Linked DNA regions of Neurospora crassa OR74A. The main gene of each other region encodes a partner of the protein of the gene in region 2 in a complex. Links are inferred from orthologs where the notes say so. Each region holds a gene or a part of one and is shown on either strand. Other genes may lie near its edges. The genes, in order: NCU06617 and NCU01440.

Region 1 (3,664 bases), on a different chromosome or scaffold from region 2:
AGTTAATTTGGATCCACTGTTTGTGATTTGGTGCGTTTGTTTGGGTGGTCTTTGAGAATGTCCATCTTCGGGTAAGTCTCCACCTCTTGTTTACATACTTGCCTACTGACAGCATTGGCGCATTGCTTACTGTAATCATTGACATGTTTCCACGATAGCCGCTCGACGTTCTCCTCTGCTGGGTATGCTGCCTTTCGGCCCTCATATCCCTCGGTTCTTTACGACCGGGTGTTGAGATTTCACGGCAAAGAGGCCCCTTCCTCCCCATCACCATCGTCGTCTTCGCCGGCAGCTGGAACACTGCTAGACCTTGGCTGCGGACATGGCTTAGTGGCGCGCGCACTCGCTCCCTATTTCAACCGTGTTATCGCCCTTGATCCTTCGGCCGGCATGATTGAACAGGCTCGCAAGCTAACCGGCGACAACTCCAAGATTACGTTCAAGCAAGGCGGAGCCGAGGACCTTTCTTTCCTTGACGACAATGCCGTTGACTGTGTGGTTGCTGGCCAAGCGGCGCATTGGTTTGACTACTCCAAGGTCTGGCCAGCACTTGCACGGGTCGTGAAGCGCGGCGGAACCCTGGCTTTCTGGGGTTACAAGGACCACATCATCGTTGGGCGGCCGGAAACAACGCCCATCTTTGACAGGTTCATCTACGGCGAGACAGAGCCGGTGCCGGGCGTGGAAAGCATGATGTGCTTTTGGGAACAACCCGGCCGGAACATATTACGGGATTCACTGCGGGAGGTGGTCCCTCCCGAGAGGGAATGGGAACATGTGGTCCGTATTGCTTGGGATCCCAATCGTGAGACGGGCGACATTAGCGATGCTCCGGAAGAGGCCACTTGGTTGCGTCGGAGGCTCAAGTTGGGCGAGTTGGCGAGCTATATTCGCACGTTCAGTGCCTTCAGTGGTTGGGGAAGCGCCCATCCCCAGATGAAGTGCAGGGCGGACGGAGGAGAGGGCGACATTGTTGACTTGATGTTTGACGAGGTTGTTGCTGCGGTGCCGGAATGGAAAGCGGCGGGGGATCGATGGGCCGAAATCGAGGTTGATGCTATTTGGGGAACCGTTTTGTTGATGGCGAAGAGACGATGAACTGGAAAGGTAGTGTACAATTAAGTGTGGTGAAGAGACGATACTGTACAGTGGTGGTGGCTGACGTTGAACCTGCTATCCGGGCAGTATCACCGGCCCCCTTGCGTAACCAAGGTGCTCTCTGTCAGTAGATGTCTCTCTCGATTGAGCTAGCGGGCATGCAGTGCTGCTGTATCGCGAGTTGTCACCAGTGCCAGTGGGTGGTTGCCCTCCATTGGCTGCCACCGCGACCGGGATGCGGGCGCATAAGGTCGGGTACTGCGTAATGGCACAGACCAGTCAGCGCAACTCCCTGTCCGCAGCTCATTTCGCGGCGGGAAGGGAAGCCCAAATCGATCGCCCACTCCTTTTGCATCTAGCCTTGGTTCGCTTCTTGACCGTTCTTCTGAATAGCATCATCTTTCGCATCGAATCCATCAGCCAGCGTACTTGCATCGACTAGCCCTTGCGTCCTCTTTTGCGCATTCAAACGACATTCCCCCCCCTGAGACACAATGGTAAGTGGACCTGTCCCTGTTCATCCGCCGCGGGCACTGGCACGCGCGCGCGCCCCTCTCCATCCCTCCATCCCAAGTCCCAACCCCGACGCACGGAAACAGAAAGCATGCGAAAGCAAGAGCCAGGAACCCCGCGGTTGCCCATGACAACAAAGGCACAAGGTGCCACAACCTTGGAAGCCGCAGCGTTCTGCGTTGAATCGGAGCACTACCTGTAAAATGCGCCTGCGCCTGCGCCCGGCTTGAGCGTTGAGCTGCCAGGTCCTGCTTCGGCATCCATCCATCACAGACCAAAAAAACACCATTCATTTTGCCAACTTTCGATCGCATCGCTGCTCCCTTGCCGCTTGGGTTTCTGCGCCTTGTTCTCGCAACCATCGCCCTCGTCCTCTCGATTGCCGACTCTAGCACGATCGCAAAGCCAGCGCTTTTGCTTACGCTCAACCTACCGCGATTTACTACATACCCGCATTCTTGAAAGAACATTTCATTGCGACAGCGCAACTCAGGAATCATGGCATCTAACCAGTTCGACGGTCAGGCTTCTACCAACTACAAGGAGGCGTTCTCCCTGTTCGACAAGCGCGGCAACGGCCGTGTTGCCCTCGACAGCTTGGGTGACCTGCTCCGCGCTTGCGGCCAGAACCCCACGCTCGCCGAGATCCGCGAGCTCGAGAAGAACGTTGGTGGTGATTGTGAGTAATACCCGAGCGGAAACAAGTAGTTCATCTGAGATTAGTTACTAACAGATGCCCTTCTCATCCGACAGTCGACTTCGAGACCTTCCAGCGCGTCCTCAACCGGCCAGGTGGCTTCCGTGATCCCGGCGAGCCCGAAGAGTACTGCCGCGGTTTCCAGGTGTTTGATAAGGACATGACGGGTTTCATCGGCGTTGGACAGCTCAAGTACATCTTGACAAACCTTGGCGAGAAGATGACGGACGAGGAGGTAGACGAGCTCCTCAAGGCCGTTGATACTAGCTCCGGCCAGGTGAACTATACCGGTATGTCAGCCTCAGCACTTGCTGTTTGCTTGCCCTTTGCGTGAAACCTAGGAGTCTCGACTAACAATATGTGTACGACGCAAACAGAGCTTGTCCGGACCATCCTTGCCAACTAAAATATTGAGTAGAGGTGGTACGGAATGATGACGAGGGAAACTGGGTTTGGAGGTCAAACATCATGGGGCATAGTCGAATAGAAATCGCGGGACAAATCCGTCCACGGAGAAGGCGTCATATACCATCTATTACAGGGAAATCGCATGTGTTATAATCCAGGCAGGCGTCGGAGTCTTGATAAGATATGAATTTGGACATATCATTTACCGGGAACTGAAAGGCTTTCCGGACGTGTGTCTTAACCAACTACGCTAGATTGGGTTCCACGCCTGATCTTTCTTCCGTCCCCTTCTCTTGCGTGACGGAGGCGTGTTTCCAAGTATACGTTGTTTGCCCAGTACTCAGCAGTACAATATTCGTCATGAATCCCTTTTCGCTCTACTCGAAAAAGGGCTCGACCCTGTCAGTTTGCTTCGGGTAAGGCAAATGACATGAAACATCACAAAGGATGAATATGAGAAAACAAGGCCCTGGAGTTTGTATAGTCACTGGAAACAAGGCCAAACACGTTTCCGTCTTCCTTCGAATTCGGGCTCAAAGGGGATGTGGGGATTCCGATGTCCCTTTTCCGGCCTTCAGTCTGGGTACGGTCAGGAAGTGGAAGCAAGGTGTATCACTTGGCGGTATCTTTGGAGATGTTAATTCCTGTGTTGGATGACCAGAGAGGGGGTAACCAGTACTCAAATACTGCATTATCTAAAGCATCTATGTAATGTTCCTGCAGTAGACTGGTAACTTACAATGTCCGGTCGCGGAAGCCGGACATCTTGGACATTTCCCCAGCGGCTTGCATCGGTCTTGTCAATTATGGAGCCCCTGTCCTCCGCTGACGGCCATCACCCGTGCCTTCTTTTCCCTCGGCTAAGTAGTGAAGAACTGAAGGAACTGTCCTAAATGACACCATCTCTATCCCGTATTTGCAAGGCTGGGCATTTTCTTGACTGATCAC
Region 2 (4,289 bases):
AAAACCGTCCGACTCGTAGGTAACGTCGATGGCATAATGGCAGACGGTGAAGGATGACTTGCCGAAACGGGGCTTCTTGTAGAATTTGTGCTTGTCGGCAGCGTAGTTGTGGTGAAGCTTAGTAACGAACTGCTCGTCGGAACCCATGGGTAGTCTTGATTCCTCGTCTAGAAGGGACAGGATACCAAGTTTGCCCTCGATAAGGTCAATGCAGGGCTGGTTGTCAGCAAAGTCGATGAAGGTCCAGTCAATCTGCTCCCTAAGGTATTCCTCCTGCTCCAACTTGAACACATGCTGGTTGAACTCCTGCTGAAGCTTCTCGTTGGCGTAGTTGATACAGAACTGCTCGAAGGAGTTCTTGGCGAAATGCTCGAAGCCGTAAATATCCAGAACACCAATGAAGGAAGTGACTCTGGTGAGGACCTCCTCCGAAGCAAGACTGTGATTGATGATTTCGACGAGCCAGTCGAACAGACTCGAGTAGATGTACTTGGCAACGGAATCTCGGACAACGATAGCCTGCGCCTGGGTCAAGTTGGACACGATCTTTTCACCACGAGTGACCAATTGCTTCTTGACGATCCACTTGGCAAATTCTGGAGCATCGATGCCGAGAATCTCGCAGGCCTTAACCAGCGATGGTTCGGAAGGATCGAGGGAACTGTCGTTTCGCATGGCACCAATCTTGACATTACCCAAGTGGAGGAGACCAGCCAGAAGCTTGAAGATCTCCGTTTGCTTGCCCTCGTCAACACCGATGGTCTTCAAAGATGCCTTGGTCGCATTGAACTCGGCCTTGTCATCGACGCCATCGATCGTGGGGGTGTTACCCTGGTTGAGGTACTCGAACTGTTCAACGGGAAGCAAGCCCAATTCCTGGCGCTCCTTGTCCGTCACACCAGCAACCAGCTGGTAGAAAATATGGTAGTTTCTTTCCTTCAACGGTTGGAAAACCAACCTCGATCGCTCGAGAAGGTAGGTCCTGATCTTGGCACCGATAATGTTGGTGGCCTTGTCAAACATGATTTCGATGTATTTACCGAATCGCGAGGAGTTGTCGTTTCTTGTCGTCTTTGCGTTACCAAAAGCTTCCATAATCGGGTTCGTAGCCAAGATAGCCTCCTCGGTCTGGCTCATAGACTCGTGGCCACCCTTCTTTACTCGTGATCCGGGGCTGTCGGGCGATTCTCTTGTCGCGAAGTATCTCATAATGTACTTGGCACTGACAGTCTTACCGGCACCGGACTCACCAGACACGACAATGGTCTGGTTCTTGCCATCGCGCAACATGTCCCTATTGTTATGTCAGCGATTACAAGTCAACATGAATCGTCAAATTGGCAAAGAGCCCATACATGAACGCTTCCTCAGCAATGGCGAAAAGATGGGGAGCTTGGGTTGCTCTTTGCTTCCCGGCATAGACTTGAACCATGCCTGGGACATAAAGAGAGTCAACCCGCGCGAACGGGTTTGTAGCTATTAGAACAATACCCGAGTATGTGTAGATTTCCTTCTGGGCATATCGAAGGCGGATAGCCTGAAGCACTAAGCACAGCACATGCTATCAGCATCACGTTCTCGGAGTGCGCCCGATGGCGGGGCGAGTCAGCGCAAAGGTGTGTGTATATTTACCAGCAGGCTCGTTCAGATGTGATAGGTTCGTCAAGTCATCACTGGCTTCGAGCATTGTTGGGTTCATCAAGGGCGGTAGCGACTCATGGCCGCCTGACTGGAGGGCCTCGAGGGAGACCTCCACGGTCTTAGTCTGCAGGCAGTAACACATGTTAGCATCTTGAAGCGCACCAGCCCGCAAAGCACGTAAACCAAAGCACAAAAGTCGGAATATGCCGAGACTTGGGAAAGCATAAGCTACCTACCTCGCCATTCTCGCACTCGAAGATAAGAGTGACCTTGTTGCCGTCTACTGTCTTCTTGACTACTTCAGAGGCAACCCAACCCTCGGTAGGATCGGGCTGCCAGGCTCGAGTGCCAACATCATAGCTCTCCGACATTGGATGCGCTTGTATCGGTGTATTCTCGAGGGAGAGAAAATCGGCGCGAACCTGCGAGTCAGGAGCAAGGGGGAAGAGATGTTGTGGTGGGATTTGGATGGCTTCAAGAAGCCAGTTCTAGCGGCGGAACGGCCAGCACGGCTAGGGGCGACGGGGGTGGATAGGGATAATGGTGGACCGTGTCTGTTATGGCGGACGCAACGACCGGAATGAAGAGCGGTCCAGGATGCTAGTTCGGTCGCGGAAGCTTGGAATCCAAGGGCCGGCGGGAGTGTGGTGCTGGCGAAGACAACATTCACGAAGGGAATGGAAGAGGGGGAAATTAGATACAAAAATAGGGATTGGACGTGGAGCAACACATTAAAGAAGTATAGAAAGATGTTGCTATCGTGCGGGCAACGGAGCCCAAGCCGACAAACAAGGTGGTCGAAGACGATGTAGGTCTAGGAGTTCGAAAGGGGGTTCGGCTCGTGTCGTCGGACCGATGGGAGTGTAGCGCGGGCTGTTCTTGGACGAAACAGCTGAAAGATGTTGTTGTTGCTTTTGTTGTTTGCTTTGCGTGCCCAAGGGAGCTAGCTGGTAGGTGTTTGGCTGACCGGGAATAGGTCAGGTCCTGTCACTGTGTGTAGGACAGGAAGGTTGTGGAATGCCGTATAAACGGGGCGGGCAGAACGGGCGGAGCGGGGACCCAACACACTGCCTTGCGGTGGGAGAACGGATTCGTCGAGCGGTCGAGTCGGGTTCTCTTAACGGTGGCAGCCTCTCTGTATAGAAGTGGCTGATGGTCGAGATAGCACCTGTGGATGAGGGAACGTCCTTGATGTAGTAGCCTGTCGGGCCGGTGTGGTCAACAACCAAGTCAAAAGTCGGGGTAGGCGAGAAGGCGGGACGACGAGACGGGATGTCGTTGAAAGTTTAGGGGTAGGCTTCCGCTTGTAGTGTAGCTGAGGTGCCCGGTGATGATAGAGCACTGGCGGGCCGTCGTGGTGGCAGGCTAACAGCCCGGCCGACGTTCACTTCCGTTGACAGGGGCCCCGTTGTTGTGGATGTTGAGGTGGTCGGTCTTTGGCGGCCACCGCCCAATTGGGTGCGTCGCTGGGCTCGTTGCATTAACACCGAAGCACGGACTCTTTCGTGGGCTTGGGGAGCTGGACTCCATGGAGCCCCTCCAATGAGCCGTAATTCCCAAATGACCTGGACAAGCAGGGCTCTCCTTAAAAGGGGGCACTAACCAACACTGCGAAGAAGATTACATACCTAGAGGTATGCTTGGGAATCCCGCGACTCTACATAAGTGGAAAGCTACATAGTACACAGACAAGGCGAAGAAGAACAATGGGTGACTGGCACCTCTAAGCAGCGTATAAGGGTTACCTTTGTCTTGTCCGGAGAGGTGTCCAGTGGAAGACGACATGATGTACAAGATGGGTCACGATGTCCAAGTCTACACTCTACCTTGAGATGTACAAATGTGTCTCTGGAGGCTCACGCCAATGGGTGAATAACCGTCAGGATATCCTATGAGGACGACCATGTTTCTCCTCCTGATCTATAGCCCTCTTGATTTGTATGGCTTCATCGTTCTCATTATGTACGGTCTTTGGTCTTCCCCTGAGTTTCTGTATTTCTCCCCGACAGCTCACCGGCGCCCCTCATCAGGGTAGCATTTCGTTTACACAACTCCCTGAAGGAACTCACGGAAGTAAGGCCCAATCTTACCAGACTCCCATGGCCAATTGTTTGCACTGGTCCGTTCGTTCGTTCATTTGTTCGTTCGATATGCCATCCAACTGGGTCCCCGTCTGGCCCGTCTGCCCGCTTGTTGACAGTTGAAATGCATTAACCTGTCCGCCTGAAAAGGAGAGAGATGGGCAAACTCAAAATGGGGCATAGTGTAAATACGTACCAATACCTCTATGGCATTGATGGGTGGACCGGGCTGAGTCTGGCACCATGACAATCAATTGCATTTGCGTTCAGTTCCTTCTTCTCTTCTTTCTGGAATCTGCAGGGGTAAAAAGAGCGCCAGCGAATGGCGGGTCGTCAAAGACTGTGGAAACTGTTGGAGACTACCTACTTACGGGCCCCACCAGGCCCCCCGTGCGGCCGGCAGCCCGAGTATCGGGGCCTGGGACTTGGGAGGAAAAAAAAAGGGGAGGGGGGGGGGGGGGGGGGGGGAGAAAGGCGGTGCTTTTGGTGGTTTGCCGCCGACTCCGCGTCGTCGCCGCCTTTTGTCTGCTCCGTGGCCGGATTGACGACGAGTGACTACTGTTACAA

What was found.
Region 1: the proteins of NCU01440 (region 2) and NCU06617 are in contact, whole or in part, in a crystal structure (PDB 1N2D), measured with the Saccharomyces cerevisiae proteins. The link is inferred for Neurospora crassa OR74A from reciprocal best matches to the Saccharomyces cerevisiae genes MYO2 and MLC1. Residues at the interface, in NP_014971.1 of Saccharomyces cerevisiae: Ile807, Ala810, Ile811, Lys812, Tyr813, Leu814, Gln815, Asn816, Asn817, Ile818, Lys819, Gly820, Phe821, Ile822, Ile823, Arg824, Gln825, Arg826, Val827, Asp829, Glu830, Met831, Asn834; in NP_011409.1 of Saccharomyces cerevisiae: Leu13, Phe14, Lys16, Asp29, Arg32, Ala33, Gly35, Tyr36, Asn37, Thr39, Asn40, Ala77, Thr78, Lys80, Ala81, Asp85, Phe86, Lys88, Ala89, Phe90, Val92, Met109, Leu110, Leu113, Gly114, Glu115, Lys116, Leu117, Glu121, Glu124.

Annotation. Positions count from the first base shown.
Region 1 is NC_026504.1:1,814,765-1,818,428, forward strand, and holds NCU06617 (myosin regulatory light chain cdc4), read left to right. Parts: upstream 1-1,461; 5' UTR 1,462-1,592; coding exon 1,593-1,595; intron 1,596-2,136; coding exon 2,137-2,290; intron 2,291-2,364; coding exon 2,365-2,598; intron 2,599-2,685; coding exon 2,686-2,714; 3' UTR 2,715-2,959; downstream 2,960-3,664. Other genes in the region: NCU06616 (S-adenosylmethionine-dependent methyltransferase), read left to right, coding at 58-71, 159-1,098. UniProt on the Saccharomyces cerevisiae protein: Essential light chain for the class II conventional myosin MYO1. Also acts as light chain for the class V unconventional myosin MYO2 and for IQG1.
Region 2 is NC_026505.1:4,738,338-4,742,626, forward strand, and holds the start of NCU01440 (myosin-2), read right to left. Parts: upstream 2,969-4,289; 5' UTR 2,013-2,968; coding exon 1,878-2,012; intron 1,766-1,877; coding exon 1,633-1,765; intron 1,546-1,632; coding exon 1,356-1,545; intron 1,295-1,355; coding exon 1-1,294. UniProt on the Saccharomyces cerevisiae protein: Myosin heavy chain that is required for the cell cycle-regulated transport of various organelles and proteins for their segregation.